Linked DNA regions of Pelodiscus sinensis. The protein of the gene in region 2 binds, or shares a complex with, the protein of the main gene of each other region. Links are inferred from orthologs where the notes say so. Each region holds a gene or a part of one and is shown on either strand. Other genes may lie near its edges. The genes, in order: DPM2 and PIGP.

What was found.
Region 1: PIGP (region 2) and DPM2 share a complex: the UniProt entries of both Homo sapiens proteins name them as parts of the glycosylphosphatidylinositol-N-acetylglucosaminyltransferase (GPI-GnT) complex. The link is inferred for Pelodiscus sinensis from reciprocal best matches to the Homo sapiens genes PIGP and DPM2.

What each region holds. Positions count from the first base shown.
Region 1 is NC_134732.1:10,558,620-10,568,057, reverse strand, and holds the start of DPM2 (dolichol phosphate-mannose biosynthesis regulatory protein), read right to left. Parts: upstream 4,449-9,438; 5' UTR 4,313-4,448; coding exon 4,310-4,312; intron 1,622-4,309; coding exon 1,532-1,621; intron 1-1,531. UniProt on the Homo sapiens protein: Regulates the biosynthesis of dolichol phosphate-mannose. Regulatory subunit of the dolichol-phosphate mannose (DPM) synthase complex; essential for the ER localization and stable expression of DPM1.
Region 2 is NC_134711.1:186,269,888-186,279,087, forward strand, and holds the start of PIGP (phosphatidylinositol N-acetylglucosaminyltransferase subunit P), read right to left. Parts: upstream 3,609-9,200; 5' UTR 3,469-3,608; exon of another isoform or gene 3,426-3,468; intron 3,350-3,425; exon of another isoform or gene 3,170-3,349; intron 2,845-3,169; exon of another isoform or gene 2,709-2,844; intron 2,235-2,708; 5' UTR 2,216-2,234; coding exon 2,134-2,215; intron 1-2,133. Other genes in the region: E3 ubiquitin-protein ligase TTC3, read left to right, coding at 5,679-5,756. UniProt on the Homo sapiens protein: Part of the glycosylphosphatidylinositol-N-acetylglucosaminyltransferase (GPI-GnT) complex that catalyzes the transfer of N-acetylglucosamine from UDP-N-acetylglucosamine to phosphatidylinositol and participates in the first step of GPI biosynthesis.

The DNA.
Region 1 (9,438 bases), on a different chromosome or scaffold from region 2:
TGTGGGCGGAAGACCCCACAAGAATGGACTCTCATCGCATTTCATTTCTGCCACTTCCCTTGAGAATCAGGAAACAGATGAGACATGTGTAATAAGAAGAGGGCCTAAAACGTAGCCCATCAAAGGCTTGGTGTGGGGCCTAGGCAACAATGGTCAAGCAAAGTTAAGTTGTGAGCAAGTGGCAGGCCCTGCTCACAGAACTTGACAAGAACAGGACTGATATTGCAGAAACACTCATATCTAAGAGAAAGTAGGCACCAGCCATTAACACAGTCCAGAAGGATGGTAACAGAACACCTCATTAGGAGACATCTTGGTACAGGTTGGACCTCCTGGTCTGGCAGGGGATCGACAGAATTTGCTGGACCAGGGGAAGTCTGCCCTTCCATGAGCCCCGAGTTAGCTGGCCCCATCTACCCTCTTTGCTGCTGCCGGCACCAGCCCCAGGCTGCCTTTGGTGGCCAGGGTTTTCTGGCGCTGGCACATGCGGTCACATTTCCCCAGCCCTGCGCTGCAACCAGCAGCTGGACTTCTCTGGTTCCTGACCCCGCACAGCTGCTGGCTGTCAGGGCTCTCCAGCTCCATGCTGCCACAGGGAGCCAGGCTTCTCCAGCCCTCAACCGCGCGCTGCTGCGGGCGACTAAAATTCCCCAGTGCCTGGTTCCGCACTGCCGCAGGCTGCCAGGATTCTTTAGTTCCTGGCCCAGCACTGCTGTGGGGTCCTCTGGTCCCATTGTCCCCGGGGGGCTGCTGGCCCTCTTTCCATTAAGCTCCCGAGCTCTCTGGTCCAGGAGCATCTGCTGTCTTGCTGGACCACAGATATTGCGGGACCAGAGAATGCTGGTTTTCAGAGGTGCAACCTGTACCAACACACTCACTAGAAATAACAGGAACATACCAACCAGGGATGTAAGCAACTAGTCTACTAGTAGACCATCCGATAAGCAAATCCTTATCGGATAGTTGACTAGTGACTCAACTAGTAGCTTCCCCTCCCCCCTTGCTGCCGCTATCAGAGAGAGTCAGCAAGGGGTGGGGAGCAGGATACGGTGCTGGGGGGAACCGGCTTAAAACCTGGTTCCCCCCAGCACAATCTCCATGGGAAGAGGGGACAGGGGTGCAGCGGGGAACTGGTGGCACTTTTGCCTTTGAAATGTAGCAAGAGCAAGACTGTTCTGCCCACAGCATGGAAGTGAACACTAAGGAGACTTTTTTGAAAACCCCAGAATTATTCTGAGTTTGAGTTTTGGGTGAAGGTTCAAAGGGGTGGAACACTGCAGTTATAACTTTATTCAGATCACCACACCTACCCCATCAAAGCACACTGATACAGATAATTCTTTGGGGTTCAGCTTTGGTCAAGGTTCAGAAGATCAAGTGTTTGAAGGGATGAGTGAGCAAGAAGGAGTTTATAGTAACGGTTTTACAGTGAGCATAAAGCTAGACAAACAGGTCTAACAAAAGTCTAAAAGAAACACAACAGTGAAGCCATTGAGACTGCAATAACCAGAGTGCATGCAGGAATCCATACCAGTATAATAATCCAGATGGTGTAGTAAACAAAAAGAACAAGGCTAAAGGCTACCAAGCCAAATCCGACCAGCTGGTCCATTGCTGTGGCCTGGAATACAAAAGTAACAAGTCAAAACAATTCAGCTCCTCCAACTGAATTATAGAGAGTACAAATGGCACAATGACATTTAAAATACAAGTGAATATTACAGCACCTAGTACAATGGGGTCTGGTCCATAACAAGCAGTCCTATGTATTATGGTAGCACAAATATATGATAAACGTATAGGTGTCCTTTCTATGTTGCAGTATTTACTCAGGCTAAGTCTACACTGCCACTTTACCGCACTTCAACTTTCTGGCTCACGGGTGTGAAAAAACAACCCCCTGAACACAGCACCTTACAATGCTGTAAACTTAGCTACAGTGCTAGAAGCCATGCTCCCAGAGCAGTTAATTACTCCTCTGGTGAAGGTGGTCTACCTAGAGAGCTGGGAGACCTCTGTCCCAGCACACTTGTAGTGACCACACTGCGGCATTCAAGTGCTGCTGCGGCTGTGCTTTAAACTTTCCAGTGTAAACAAAGCCTCAACTCCTGGCCATGAAGATGTAGTTTTGAAACAAAAGCCAACAAAGAAAAAATACTTGGACAAATAATTTGCCTTAAATGCCTCATTGATAAAACTCATCCCCTCTTGCTCTGAAATAGAGACAATTTCTTATGCTTTGTGAGATGCTCACCAAGGTGTGATCCACTCACTTGTATTGAAGCCGTTACTCATCCACAGAGCTTGCAACGATGTCCCCCTGTGCTATGATCCTAGAAACCTCAAGCTAAGTAGAGTCAGAGCAAGTCAGTTAGGAGACCTTCTAGGACAGCAGTTCTCAGACTGTGGGTTATGACCTGGTTTTAATTAGGTCAACAGGACTGGCTTTGACTTGCTGGGGCCCAAACCAACGCACCAGCCCCACCACCCAGAGCTGCAGCAGAAACCCAAGAGCTTCAACCTTGGGCAGTAGTTCTCAGATTACAGCTCCCTGCCTGAGGCTTGAGCTTTGTCCCCCTCCCTTCAGCCTAGGGCATTGGAGGCTTGGCTTTGGCCCTCCCACCCAGGGCAGTTGGGCTCAGGAAGATTCAGGCATCAGTCCCCACTAGGGATGTAATAGTAGTAGATTAACCAACTAACTGATAAGCAAAATGCTATAGACTACACTCATTTCCCCCCCTCTCCTTTGCCAGCAAATTTTTTAGCAGGATGGCCAGTAGTCCAACTCAGTCCTGATTCACACCAGGTATGGCACCTATTCCTGCTGCAGCTCTACATTTGAGGTGTATTAGGAACCAGATGGGCAAACAGCCTGGCTCAGTTCCAGCTCACGTGGGGTCTAGGAGCTCAGCCTCCCTCCTCCCCCCAGATAGGGGCTGCTGCACACTGTGGGGGGTGACAAGCAGCCGGTCTGCAAGGGGAGCTGGTTTTTAAACAGAGGCAGCAGCACGGAGTGGCAGGGGACTCGTCAGGAGTGGGAACAGAGCGCACTGGCTGCAGACCTTGTTCTATTATAGAACAGTTGACTAACGGATAAGAATTCATGAGGTTAATCGACTATTCAGTTAACCAATATTTAACGTCCCTAGTCCCTGATCCTAGGGTTGTGCAGTATTTTTTGTTGTCAGAAGTGGGTCATGGTGCCATGAAGTTTGAAAACCCTTGTTGTAGGAAAACCCAAGAAGCTGTCACAAGTGGTGGGTGAGGATTCACTACAATCAGCACTGACTTTGATCCAGAAGGGTGTAAAGAGGCACTGTGCTACTGGGAATATCTTTTTTTAAAGATATACAGAAAACCAAACTCCTGAGATTACTAATGAGCCAAGGCACTTGCTGAAATATTAGGAATGTTCACTTACCTATCCTGGCCCAATTCTAATTCATGTAATTACAACCTGGCTGGCCAACACACTCCTGAATTCAACTTATTTTGAGAATCTTAACATCTTGCATGTATGCTTAAATTCCTCAACATAACATTAACACAGCTTCATTGTGAGGCCAATATAATCATCTGATTTGATCAACAACACGTTCACCTATGAGAATCCCAATGTACTTCATCACTAAAAGGCAGCCGCCTCTGGGGTGGAACATGGATGTCATTCTGCATTATAAAACTTTGCTTTTAAAGGCAAGAAGTGACGGGGACAGGAGCCAGTGGGTGAAGGGCATGGAAGGGGCTGGTTCCATGGTGCGCAAGCGGAATGCAACTGCCAGGGTGGGAACCTAGTCTGGACACCGGCTAAGCCAGCACATGGGAGCGTCTGGGTCCGAAGTGCCCAGGGCTTGGGTTTTACAGCTTCCCATCAACGCTGCAGCTCCAGCAGCCCAGCACCCGTAGCCCCGGGGAAGGCCCCAGGGGGGAGCCAGCCTCAGTCTACTCCACACTCATGCTCGCCCGGCCCCATCGGACCGGGGTGTGTGTGTGGGGGGGGAGGGTGTTAACCCCTTCGCGCCCCTCCCCCATCGGACCGGGGTGTGTGTGTTTGGGGGGGGTTAACCCCTTCGCGCTCCTCCCCCATCGGACCGGGGTGTGTGTGTGGGGGGGGGTTTAACCCCTTCGCGCCCCTCCCCCATCGGACCGGGCGGAATTAACCCCTTCGCGCCCCTCCCCCATCGGACCGGGCGGAATTAACCCCTTCGCGCCCCTCCCCGTGCCCGCTGCCGCTCAGCTGAGAGGGAACCAGTTCATACCAAGCTCCTCTCCCGGGGGGCAGACGGGACTCACCATCCCCCCCACTCACCATGGTCCCCACCGAGCGCGGCCACTTTCTCCACCGCAGCCCCCCCCCCAGCCGGCTCAGCTACTTCCGGGAGACCCAAGCCAATCAGTGACCAGCACTTAGATCTCGTAGCATCCCGGGTGTTGTCTTGGCACAATTGCATTATGGGGGATGCAGGCTCTAAGGAACGCCTTCCCAAGGCATCATGGGAGATGTAGGCTCCACGCGGCACCTCTCCCAGGGCATCATAGGAGATGTACGCGCCACGTGGCGCCTCTCCCAGAGCATCATGGGGGATGTAGGCGTATCTTTTTCCAAGACTCTGGAGACAGTGCTGGGCAGAATAGGGTTGCCAGATGGTTTAGCAGGCAACCAGGGCCGGACCCCCTCCCCTCCCAAAAAAAGCACCGGGAATTTTTTGTTGACCAAAAAAAAAAAAAAAAGCACATCGGGCCACCAAAATGCAGTCGCAGCCCCTTTAATTGGTGGGTCACTCCCCCCATCCCCAGGGTTGCCAGGTGTCCAGTTTTCGCCCAGACTGTCCGTTATTCAGGTCTCCCCGTCCAGTAAAAAAAACAGAAAATACCGGACATGTGAAGTGTCCAATATTTCCTATTTCCCTCAGACGGAAGCCTGACAGGGACAATATGCACCTGCGTGTCTAGTGGGGTGGGCGAATGAGGAGAGTGGGGCCATTTAAAGGCACAGCACCCTTTTTTTCCCCCCAACAACTTTGGTCTCCCCCCAGGGTGTTCGGTATTTTTTGTTAAACCATTGGGCAACCCCTACATTGGGCACCAAGCCAGGAAAAGCAGAAAATACCAGACATTTTATGTGTCTGGTATTTTCTCAATTTCTTTACTGGACAGAAGGCACAAATACCTGACCATCCAGTTCAATACCAGACACCTGGCAACCCTAGAGCAGAGCGTTGGGTGTGTCTGTCACAAAAGCTTTGGGCACCATGTAACCGCCACCAGTAGATCCCTGCAAGTTTGTGGATGTGGCTTCAGATCCACAGGGGTACATGGATCTTTCCATGGATGATTTTATCAAACATCAAGCTACGACTCTGGTTCTAGCAAGGGTTTTCTTTCTAATTCCAACAGAAAGAGCCTTCCCCCCAAAAAACAAACCTTCCTCTTCAGTGTTTGTACAATTAGACAACTCCAAAGGGAAGGAGGAAGCCCTGGGAAATTATGATCCTCCCCTTGCCTAGAAAGAGAACTGCAGCAGGGCACTGGGTCCCTTCTCCAGGGGGCAGAGCACTGAACTTTAACTCTTCCCTAATTATCACCTACTAAGCCAGCAGTGACTTAGGCTCTTTAAATACTCTATTTTAGGGCTTGTTTGTCTACATGGGGAAATCTACCAGTGTAATTATACCAGTATAATTAGTCACATGGGTGATCACTTATTCCATATTTAAAGCGTGGTGTCACATTCACTGCAGACACTGACAGCTTCCTGTACAGAATTCAGCCCCACCATGGAAAGGCTGTCAATTCGGGTTCCCTCAGCCAAGAGAACCACCTCCACTTATTGGGGCCCAAGTCATCCAAACTTGGGATGGGAATGACCGAGACCAGTTTATAGATATGGAGGAGGTACTTGGGCCTCCAAGGAGAAGGGGAGGGCCACTCTGGGCTGTATCAGGGGAAAAGGTTGTCCTGGAGGTCTGGGCACCTGCTCTGATTGTTTCCAGGCCTGTCCTACAGACCCCTGAAGACTCTGACTCATTTCAATTAAAACTCCCTGCATGATGCCTCTCCTGCCTCAGACCCTGTCAACCCACAGATGTTGTAGATTTTATCCAGAGTGTCTTCCCCTACAGCTGCCAGACTGAGGACATGGCTGCATCATACTCATCTGGTTAGCAGGTGCACTAGCCCTTTACTTTCTGTTCAGTTACTAGATCTCTCAGCCCCAACTCCTCCCAATTTCTGTACAGAAGCAGCAAGGGGAAGCACCTTCACCTCAAAAGTTCTGCTTCAATCCCACCTGGTTGGGGATTCAGCTCTGGCAGCTGGGTACCAGAGAGCAAGGAACAGGAAACCATAGGAACTGACAAGTGAGAGGTGACTTTGGAGTGGGTTTTCTCTCTCACAGGAGGGCTGGACTGACCGAAGATTTTTCCTTTATAGTACATACCAAGCCTCAGGTTAGGCTTCATTTCAAAGGTCAATCTAGGTGATCTAGGGCAAAAACCACCCTGGTCCAGCATAGCGGAGACACAGCAACTTCCATCAACTTGGCTAGATCTGCACAATCACTGCAGCATAGGCAGCCCCTCTGCAAAGCACCACTCTGGCTCTGTAATGTTATGGCTGTGCAGATCACCTGGCACTAGGGGGAGCAGCTGCCCCGGAAGATCCTGTTTTCAGGACTGGTCCAGTGATCAGTTTACACACAGCCTCTGATCAAATGAAAGAGAGTGGAACTGACAATGATCTATTAACAGGCCAGTCCCATATTCTCCCCTCAAGAAAAGCCCATCCACCCCACCCCCATACATACAGCAGTCCCTGAATTGCCTTTTTCCCTCAGAGAGACCCCCTGGGAGACTAGAGAGAGGCCCTGTTCCTGGCAGAGCTGTACTCATTGAGCCCACATGATGCTGTTGGAGGCTACATACTGGACTTGCTCCAGGAGCCCTGGTTTCCCCCACTGTCTCAACAGCAGTACTGGGGCCTGGATTCTGGCAAAACTGGGGATGAGTGGGAGAGACCCAGCGTTGTGGGATGGCGTGTGGGGAAAAAAAAGAGAAGAAAAGGTATTGAATGAAACACCAAAGGGGAAAGGAGGAGTCACTCTGGAAACGTACATTGGCATAGCTGAGTCCCTCAGGGGCGTGAAAAATCCAACCCCCTGAGAGACCGAGCTACACTGACCTAACTCTGAGTGCAGACAGCACTAGGTTTTTCCCTAGACCTAGCTATTGCCTCTCAGGGAGGTGGATTAACTACAGTGATAGGAGATGCCCTCCTATCAGCATAGGTAGCGTGTAAACTGAAGTGGTGCAGCTATAGCATGTCAACACAGACAAGCCCTAAGTCTGTCGACCCGAGGCCGTGGGTTGCAGATGTCTCTCAAAGGGCCCACCCCCCCTGACAAAGGAAAGGCCAGAGAAGAGAGAACCCTTCATGTAAACATTTGCAGGGGCCAAAAAATGACCAGAGGGCAGAGACAGGCTCAAAGGGAGAGATCCAGAAGAGGACGGCTAACAGAGCCCTCCACACTGTGTCCACTGCTCTGAGGAGTCACTGGCTGCCTACTGGGACTGGATAGAAGTATGACTAAGGGTCAGGGAAATGGCTTCACCTAGCTACCTCCTCCTAGAGCAGGGTTAGTCCCTGGCAGGCCGCTGCCGCTATATTACCTGCACCTTTGTAGGTACTGGTGATCACAGCTCTCATTGGCTGTGGATTGACATTCCCAGCCAACGGGAGCTGCAATCGCTAGTACCAGTGGAGGTGCAGGTAAATATAGCAGTGGGGACCCACTAGGGACTAACCCTGGCAGTCCGGATCCAGCCTGCAGGCTGGATGGCTAGAGTGATGGATGGCTGCCTGGGGTGGAACCAGCCAAGAGAAGGGAGATGAGGTTGTGTTAGGATTTGACTGAGAGATGAACACAGATGAAGACTCTTCTGAGTGGGCTGGGGCCATAGCCCTACCTACAACAGCATCCTCCCTGGCGAGCTGAGTGATGGTATAATGATCTGCAAAAGTGTGCACTGAGGACCAGGTGGCTGTCCTGCAAATCACCACGATGGGCACCTGGGACACAAAAGCTATGGAAGAGGCTTGCGCTCTCGTGGAGTGCACTCTAATGGGCAGGGCCGGAACCCGCGCTAGCTCGCAACATGTCTTGATGCAATCTGAGATCCAGGATGAAATACTCTGAGCCGACACTGGCTGACCCTTCATCCTATCAGCTAATGCTATAAACAGTTGGGGGGACTTGCGGAAGGGCTTGGACTTCTCTAAATAAAAAGCTAAAGCATGCCTCACATCAAGTGTGTGTAAAGCCTGTTCCATCCCAGAGCTATGGGGCTTAGGGTAAAACACAGGGAGAAATATATCCTGGTGAGCAAGACAGACACCACCTTGGACAAAAAAGCTGGGTGGGGGCATAGCCTGACCTTATCCTTAAAGACGACTGTATATGGGGGGTCCACTACTAGGGCCCTGAGTTCTGATACTTTCCTGGCTGAGGTAATGGCCACCAGGAAAGACACCTTCCAGAACAGGTGTAGAAGGAAACATGTGGCCAGTGGTTCAAAGGGAGGACCCATAAGCCTCGAGAGCATTACATTTAGGTCCCAGGAGGGCACGGGCTCACACACCTGAGGGTAAGCCCTGTCTAAACCCTTGAGGAACCAGTGCACTATGGGGTCTGAGAAAACGGTCCTTCCCCCCGAGCCAGAGTGGAAAGCCAAGATGGCTGCTAGGTGCACTTGCATGGAGGAAGGAGTCAGGCCCTGGAGCCTGAGCCCCAGGAGGTAGTCTAAGATAACTGGGACCGGGGCCTCCAAAGGGGGGACCCCCTTATTACTGACCAGATCACAAACGGTTTCCACTTTGCCAGGTAGGAAGACCGAGTAGGGAGCTGGAAGCGTTCTAAGAGGACTGCCTGGACCTACACCAAACACTGCCTCTCTGAGGCCATTAGCCATGGAGCTTCCATGCCATGAGGTGCAGGGAGAGGAGGTTCAGATGCCGGAGTCTGCCGAACTCCTGCAAGATCAGGTCCAGATGCAGGGGGAGGGCCAGAGGCCACTCCACTGAAAGGGCGAGGAGGTCTGGGAACTAATGCTGACGAGGCCAGGCCTGGGCTGTCAGAGTCACTGAGTCCTGGAATTCCCTGACCCTGAGGATTACTCTGGGGATCAGTGGGAAGGGGGGAAAAGGCCCCGAGGCCAGAGGATCGTCAACACATGTCCCAGAGACCCCGGGCTGTGCCTGTACAGAAAGCAAAACCAGGGACATTTCCTGTTGACATGGGTGGCAAACTGGTCTCTGAGGGCAGATGTAACCCTCTCCATTTTCCACAGGTGAGGGTTTCCCCAACTGGACCTTTTGTACCCCTGGAAGGACCTGCTGAGGTGATCCACCAGCTCATTCTGAGCCCAGGGGAGGTAGGTGGCC
Region 2 (9,200 bases):
CAGAATTTGTTTTGTACCTTTAACTGAAGTTAAAGTCAGAGTGCCAACTGTGTACATAAGATATGCTGTACACTTAGCCTACTTGAAAGGTTTTCAACTAATTCCCTGAAATATAGCTATGGGCAGAGGCTGAACCGCCCACATTGGGGAGGCTAGCCTGCTGGCCCCACCTGTTCTGCCTGAGGCCCTGTCTCCCACACACTTAGGGTACGTCTAGACTACATGCCTCTGTCACCAGAGGCATGTAGATTAGGCTACCAGGCATAGGAAAATGAAGCGGCGATTTAAATAATCGCTGCTTCATTTAAATTTACATGGCTGCCACACTGAGCCAATCAGCTGTTTGTCAGCTCAGCGCGATAGTCTGGACGCGCGGGTGTCAACATCAAAGGCATTTGTCGACCACCCAGGTAAACTGCATCCCAGGAGGCATACCTGGGTGGTCGACAAATGCCTTTGATGTCGACACCCGCGCGTCCAGACTACCGCGCTGAGCCGACAAACAGCTGATCGGCTCAGCGCGGCAGCCATGTAAATTTAAATGAAGCGGCGATTATTTAAATCGTCGCTTCATTTTCCTATGCCTGGTAGCTTAATATACATGCCTCTGGCGACAGAGGCATGTAGTCTAGATGTACCCCAAAACACCCACTCTCTTAACAGGAGGAGCCCTGAAGGCCTCCCCTGCAACAAGGGGAGCCCTCACCTGCTGGCCCAAACCAAATGAGGCCGAGCTGCCTGTCCATCCCTAGCACTGGACCTCCCTCTCCTGGTCATAGGCCAAGCCATCAGCCCTGCAGCTTGCCCCCCTTTGTCTGAGCCAGTGCCTCCCACCTGCACTGTGCTGGGTGCGCTGCTAGCCTCCCTGAAGCCCCCTCCCACCCAGACAAACTTCCCCAAATGCCAGGCTGGTCTCTTGAGCATCATCCCTCCCAGCAACCCTGGACAAGCTGCCTCACTTCCCTGCCAGATGCCCTCCGGCCATCCATCCAATGGCTTGCCATGTCTTAGTTCTCACTCTCCTTCCCAAGAGTAGGTAGGATGCTGTGAAAACCCCCAGAAAGGTGGTGGTGATGGTGGAGTGGCTGAACCACTGCAGTCCAGGAATCCAATGGCAGGTGGGCAGCAGGGAAGGCTGAGCCTTACTATGCCTATATACTACCACCTGTCCATGAATATAGCCGTTCCCTCGGCACACTCAGCTACACGGCCACTAGCAGCAGTATCACGGAGAACAAAAATCCAAAAGAATGCAAGAGAACTGACTACTTGGACTCATGGGTGGTAAATATTATAGACTTGGGCAAGCCAACTGTCTGCCATGGCTCCGCCCTGGCTCCCTCCTGAATTTCCCAGCACACAGCCCTAGTTAAGGCTGGCTGATGTACTGTGGGGACTGAGGGCAGTAAACACTAGGGCTGTGCTGTCTGTCATTAGCCCCAAAGTTGCAAAATGTTTTAATAGTTCAGAGGAACAAGGAAGTGAGGTCACATCTTTTACTGGACCAATTTCTATTGGTGAACAAGAGTTGCTTCTGAGCTTATAGACAGGGCACTCCCTAGCAATGCTGGTGCTGTAAGCAACCCAGCACCTGCATCCCTCCTCAGAATGGAGGGGGAGAGGGCAGGGAGGAGTTCTGCAGGGGGGCAGAAGCTGAGGGGTACAGGAGCACTGCAAGGCGGCTCACCTGAAGCCTCTGGGGAGCGAATGAAAGGCTCCAGGCACAGCCGCTTGCTGCTCCTGTTGAGTCCTCCGGCCCTTGCTGCTTGTCACCGCCCGGTGAGTGGGATGAGGGGCTGGTCCCTGGATCCGATATGCAGCCTACTGCTGCATATTTCATGAATTTGGAGGGATGGTCCTGCTCACAGAGCACTAAAGTTTATCTATTTCACTAACAAGAGTTGGTTAAATAAAAGATATTACCTCAACATCTTGTCTCTACAGTATCCTGGGCTCAACAAGGTTACAATATTGCAAAAAATAATTCAGTTTTTCATAACAGGTAATATAATTTTATTACATGAGAAGTATTAATGTAAACATTCTTTTTAAAAACTTCTACACCTTACTAGAGGCACCTGTTTAGTACAGCAAATACATATAGCACTTTACTTAGAAAGTAAGCATACTTACTAAAGCCAAACTGGGAGCCTAAGAAAAGAACAAACCCATATATTGCTCTTTCAGGCAATGGGGCTGGAGAGTTTTCGACCATGCTAGTGTCTTCTTTTTAACTGAGAAAAAGAAATTAATTACAAGAAGCTGTCAGGAACACATCATCTTTTTTTAAAACAGGTTTCCAAGATATTGAGAAGCCCATGAATATGTTATCCTCTCACTTTCATCTTCTTTGTGGCTATCGGGAAAGGGACTTAAATAGCTTTGTTCCCAGTGCAACGTGAGCGCTAGCATACTCCAGGGCCACGTGTTGCCACGGCTCCTGACAAAGGAGCCTGCTTTTTAACTAGATTTGCAAATTCCTGGCATGGTGACACCAGGAGGGCTTGCGAAAACCAGTATTTCCCATTCCTTTTAGCACTGATCTCACTGGTGGGCACAGCCTGCCCCTGTGGGGAAAAAGAACCATGCAAGGCCTTGTAGCAGAACTAGGCACCCAAAAGGTGGCTTGCTCCACTTTGGGGCAGTGCAGGCAGAGTGCAGCCTGTGGGTGGGTGCCAAGCCCTAGTGCTTTCCAGAGCACCTGCCACCGCAAATGCAGAGATGGGTGAACTAGGCAAGGCCTGGGGAAAATCCAACCACAGAGCAACTCTCTTCCCACTGGGGCAGAGCAGCAGCAGTGCTGTACAAAGCGTTGGGGGTGGGGACCCTTTTTTGGGACAGGGCCTGCTGACCCAAAGAAAAATCAGTCAAGGATAATCTGCACACAAGTGAGAAGCATCCCCCCCCCCACCACACTGACGTGGCCCTAAGAAGGAGAAAGCCACTCGCCACAGCCCCCTCCCACCAGAGCCCAGGCTAGCAGATCTGCGTGCTCCAGCCCCACGGCTCCCCAGCGCTGAGGAGCAGCCCTGAGCCTCTGGGCCGCAGCCAGCTCCCCAGCCTCAGGTCCCCCGCCCCTGCCTGGGCCAGTCCCCGCCCGCCACCGGCTCGCTCAGGGGACGCGAACTCCCCACCCGCGGACCCTCCCCATGAAAAGCGCCGGGCTCACAGCAGCCACGTGACACCCAAGGGGCGAAGCGCCGCCCCCCGCCCTGCAGCCAGGCGACGCAGCTGGGAGGGGGAGGGGCTCCCTGCCCTGCCCGCGGCACATCCCCCGCGCCGCTTCTCCTCCGCCTGACGTGCCGACACGACGCACGGAGACGCGCGCCCGAAGGCGTCGCCTGTGCATGACGTCAAGAGAAGCCGTGGTCGCCACTTCCCCGCCTGCGCAGTGTTTGCCAACACAAGGAGAGTGGGGAACCCACCGCTCCTGCCTGGGTCTCTCGCGCAGACGCCGCAAGCCCTCACCCCCGTGCTGAAATCTCTGCGTCAGAGGGCAAGCAGCCAATCGAAGCGCTGGGGCGGATGCGTGCGTGGGGGCGGGGCTGCTTTGCCTGAGGCTCTGCTGCGCCTTGCTTGTGGTAGCGCTGGACGGGCCGCTCGCCCCCTGCAAGAAGCGCGCGCTGTCCGACCCGGTGAGTTGCGGGGTGTCGGTTGAACGATCGTTGGTGCGCTCGCGCGGTATCCCCGCCTCTCATGTGCCGGGCGGGCGGGTTGTTCTCAGCTTCACACACTTCCGGCGGGTCACAGGTTCTCGCCGCCCGTGGGGCTTTTTGCTAGGGACGCCCAGCCCCGGCCCGCCCGTTTCCTCTGCCCCGGCCCGGAGCTTGTGGCGAAGGCAGCGGGCGCGCCCGGAGGAAGGCGTGGCCGGGCGGGCGGGCCGGGGGGTCCTGCCCGAGCAGCTTCCGCCGCCTCCGTTGCAAAGTGTCTCGTGAGGCGGGGCTCGGTCTGAGTCGCGTCCTTGGCACGCCCATGCCATGTAAGCAGCCCCCGCTGTAGCCTAGGGAGCGCGCCTCCTGTCCTGCCCGGTTGTTAGCCCCAGCAGCCAGGGCAGGACTCTGTGTGGTGTAGAGACTATCCCGGCCGCCTGTTTATCCAGCAGTTCCCGTGAGCATGCTTGGCTCACTCCGGACTAGCGCGGGGAGACGTTTCCTACAGAGCTGGGTGGATGAGCTTCCCTTCCGGGGGTGACAGACCACCGATAGGACCTGCCCTTGTCTTCATAGACATGTACCTGTATCCTATGAAATGAGGTTGAGAGATTAGTTCTCTTAATGTTACAAACAGCCTGAGCTGGCTTTGGCTCCCCCGGGTCAAGACATGACGGCTGTCTGCCTTAATTGTCCTGTACTGAAATAGACAATGCTTAGAATCTGCTGTATGATGACCACAGTTATGTTTCTGTGGTGAAACATGCAAACCAATCCAGACCGCATACAGGGTGCCAAGTTAGACAAAAGAACTTTGAAATTCTAAACCAAAGGGTCTTTAGAATGGATGAAATTGAACCATAGAGCTGAGGTGAGAGAGTTACTGACTGAAGACCTCATTGTGTTCATAAAAGAGCTATGTAGCACTTTAAAGACTAACAAGATGGCTTATTAAGTGATGAGCTTTCGTGGGCCAGACCCACTTCCTCAGATCAATGATATTTTCTTGCGCAGGAAATTCATGTTGCCTGTCTACACTGGCCTCTTCTGGAAGAGCTTTTGTGCAAGAGGGCTTATTCCTGAGCGGAAGCGGAAGAGTTCTCACACAAGGAGCCCTGATTTTATACATTAGAACGTCAGTTTTCTTGCGCAAAACATGCAGCCAGTGTAGACAGGCAGCAAGCTTTTGCGCAAGATCGCGCCAGCGTAGACACAGCCTCAGAGAATAGTCTATAGTTAAACCCATTTGTATAAGCAAACAAAGGATTTTGTAGCTTGGTGATAAAGTTACAAAGTCCCACAAACTGGACCCTATTGCTGCAAGTGAGGTTTGGCAAACACCTGATGATCCTGTCTGTGAATGGCTGGAGAAATACAAGTAGAGGCTTGCTACTTGGAAGAAGTGTCCATGGAGAGACAGAAAGAACACAGGTACAATATGCCAGGGAACCAAATCAAAAGCATTTTATGAATTTTTGTTAGTCTATGTAGTTTTTTGTGATTAGTGGAGAAAGTGCACTATAAAATGCAAATAACAAAATGTTTTGGGTCAGTTGGCATGGAGAGACTATGGTGTTGATTTGTTCTCTGTGATCCAGTATGAAAAATGTTGAGTCCTGAAGCCTACAAAAATCTTCATAGGCTGCAGGTATGAGGAGAGCCACAGACTATCATGCTGGCCAGTATTGTCTCTGTGTTTCCTATGTTTTCCCACCAATCTGTGTAGTCATCCCTTATCTCTAGTTTCATACTTAGATTTTATGCCTTTTAGAACAGGGATTGTCTTTGTTCTGTGTTTATGCAGTGCTTAGTCCTGATTTGTGACTCATCGAATAATGGTGCTGGTTATTTGGACTTCTGGACAATCCTGAGTGGAAAACTAAAATTCACAGTTGAAGGGCTCATTTCCCCTTTCATTAGATTATAATTTAATTTTGCAGACATTCTAAGGTCTGTTAGAGGAGTATTCCGATTGAGTCTTTTCTAATGCATTTGTGGCTTTCCCACCCCCCCCCAGGGATATGCACTATGGAAGAAACTACATTGGAATCAGACTTCAATGGCATCACTTTTCATCGTGGTTGTATTAAACCATGCTGTGAATTGGTAAGTAAACACTAATATGTAAGGGACTGGCAAGATGCCTAATGGAGGTTCTTATTCAGGTAGTCTACATGCTGCTTTTGTACTAATATAGCTGTCAAGGTGTAGGTTGCTTATTTTAACTTAAATCATACTGGTGTGATCTTTAATTAAAACAATTACACTGATAAACCACTACAGATTATTCCCCTAGGAATAGGCTGTATGGGTGACCACAGGGTGACTGTCTCTCAGAAGTAATCAGGGCTCTGTTTACCTCTGACAGGCTGACCTAGGGTGAAGGATCCATTGAAGGAAACCTGGGAAGAATGCTCCACAGTTGGAGAGTTTCTGGAAGGAAGGAAGTGTGAATTCTTAGTCTTAGGGTACATCTACACTGCAGATCTATTTCAGGATACCAGAAGTATCCTGAAATAGCTATTCCACGTCGATTGAAGCAGCCCATTATTTTAAAAATAGTTTTTGAAATAACAAGCGACTTATTCCAACATCCTGGTAACCCTCGTTCCTCAGGGTTAAGGGGAAATTCGGATTAGCAAGTGATTTCAAAATTTGGTGCTATTTCGAAATGCGTAGCACAAATTGTGTAACTTACTGTGAGCTAAGGGTGCTATATAGACACAGCCTTAGAGAATCTGGCTCTTATAGAAGACTTCCAGTCAGAAGCCCTGGAGGAAAAAGACATTAGATGTTGTCCTGAGGAATGGTCTTTGCACTTCGGCCTTAACCTAAGAGAAAGGACCCTTCCCCCTGTTAGTGAGAAGAGACCCCTGATTCTTGAAAAGGTTCCATGTCATGGATGCCTCACCGGTAAAGGACTTGGGACAACTTGGTTGACTGACTAATGTTGACTCAGCTCCTGCCTACTAGAGATGGTGAAGTGGAGGCCTTTTGATGTGATATTTCACCTATAGGATTGAATAAACTAGGCCCCATACAGGTGTTCAATATGCACTTCATAAAACTTTCACTCAGCGAAATGGAGGCAGAGTTGCAATGGCTGGGCTTCCAGGGGGCACACTAGTTTGAGAGCTCTCATTATGGTATGGTTACAGAAGTGGGGTATGAGGCTCACTCCCTTCATCTAGAGATGATAATATAGAATGATGCTTAAACTCATGTTGAGGGAAGGATGTTGCATGTTCGAAGGAGCAGCAGTGAAAACTCAAGGAACACATGTCACAGGCTGGCTGGGGAGCTCAGCAGTCCTTGTAGGCCTGGGTGTTGCAGATGCTGAAGGGAAAAGTCAGGTGGTCCCACTGAAGTAGTGTAGGTACTAAGAGCAGAAGGGGCATGCAAGTTGCGTTGTCTCTGGAGTAACAATGGAGATTACTGGCTGGTGCAGAGTACTACAGTACACCCAGGAAAGGCTGGGTCACAAAGGATACCTAAGCTCAGGCATAAGAAACCCAGATGCTTCTTAGAGACTGACAGTACACAGTTTGTGGCCAAGAAGAGTGATGTCCTAAGGTTAATGTGCTTGAAATAGGGAGAACGGAGGAATGTAAAGTTTTTGCCTGGCAAAAACTTTGAACTGTGAACAGAGGTGACTTCACCATGGGGATGCAAGAAATTGTGTAAGCTCTACCTGTAAACTCACAATATAGACCCAGGTAGAGTATGACCATATGCTTCATTCTTTCCCCTGCTCCCATAGGGCAGAAGCACATCGGTTCAAAGGGATTAATGGTCCCAGAATTTGCCAGGGAAGAAAGAAAGAAAAGGGCCGTGGGCTGGTCACATGGTGGTAAGCCCGGCCCACTTGAAGGCAGGCTATCGAGCCTATCAAGCCACGCCTGATGTGCTCCACCCTTTAGTGGCTATAGTCTGGCTTGGCTTAGTTCCAGTCAATAGCAGCCACCATGAGCAGGGCTATAAGGCCCAGTGGCTGAGTCAGTAGCAAGACTCCCTATTGCAGGGCACCAAGGCCAACTGGCCCAAGTCAGTAGTCAAAGTTAGGGATGTAAACGACTAGTCAACTATCTGGTAATCATTAGCTTATCAGATAGTTGACTAGTGATATGACCAGTCCCTTCTCAACCCTTGCTGCCTTTACCCGTTTCCCCCAGCACCATCTCCGTGGGGGGTAGGGGAGATAGAGGCCCAGTGGGAAACATCATGAGTGCAGACTGAAGCAGTCTGGGCTCGGCCCAGTTCTGATGTGATTCTGCTTTCGACATGTACAAGAGTGCCAGCAGGACTCTTGTACATTTCAGAAGCAGAAGCCCCACAGAGAGCATGGGACCAGCAGGGCACTTGTACATTTCAGAGGCTCATGCGTGCCAGGAGCACCGGGCCAGACACCTGCTGGCCCCAGGCTCCTTGCTGGGCTTTTGCTTTTGAGCTCTGGCTACAGTTCAAAGGTGGAGGCTCCCTTATCGACTAATTGAATAATGGATGGAAATCCCATCGTTTATTGAATTAGTTAAACTACCTTTAACATTCCTAGTCCAGTGTGATGGCCCCCCTTAGGAGTTAATGGGGCAGGGTAGGGGGTCCCAGGCCCTCTCTCTTCACTGGATTCCAGCCCAGAGCCTGGTCAGTGGTGGGTCCGTACCACTACTAGCTTAGCCAGGAGTTCACAATATTCTTGCCAGCAAGTTAAGGGAATGTGGATTGGATAAATAGACGGTAAGATGGATAGAAAGATGGGTAGAAGGCCGGGCCCAGCGGGTAGTGATCAACGGCTCAGTGTCAGAATGGCGGTTGGTTTCTAGCGGAGTGCCCCAAGGTTCGGTTCTAGAACTGGTTTTGTTCAATATCTTTATTAATGACCTGGATGAGGGGATGGATTGCACCCTCAGCAAGTTTGCAGATGACACTAAGCTAGGGGGAGAGGTAGATACGCTGGAGGGCAGAGATGGGGTCCAGAGTGACTTAGACAAATTGGAGGATTGGGCCACAAGAAATCTGATGAGGTTCAACAAGGACAAGTGCAGAGTCTGCACTTGGGACGGAAGAATCCCAAGCATTGTTACAGGACGGGGACCAACCAGCTAAGTAGTAGTTCTGCAGAAAAGGACCTGTGGGTTACAGTGGATGAGAAGCTAGATATGAGTCAACCGTGTGCCCTTGTAGCCAAGAAGGCTAATGGCATATTAGGGTGCATTAAGAGGAGCATTGCCAGCAGGTCCAGAGATGTGATTATTCCCCTTTATTTGGCTCTGGTGAGGCCACATCTGGAGTATAGTGTCCAGTTCTGGCCCCCCGCTATAGAAAGGATGTGGACGCATTGGAGAGGGTCCAGTGGACGGCGACCAAAATGATTAGGGGGCTGGAGCATATGACCTACGAGGAGAGGCTGAGGGAGTTGGGTCTGTTTAGTCTGCAGAAGCGAAGAGTGAGGGGGGATTTGATAGCAGCCTTCAGCTTCCTAAATGGAGGTTCCAAAGAGACTGGAGAAAGGCTGTTCTCAGTAGTGACAGATGACAGAACAAGGAGCAATGG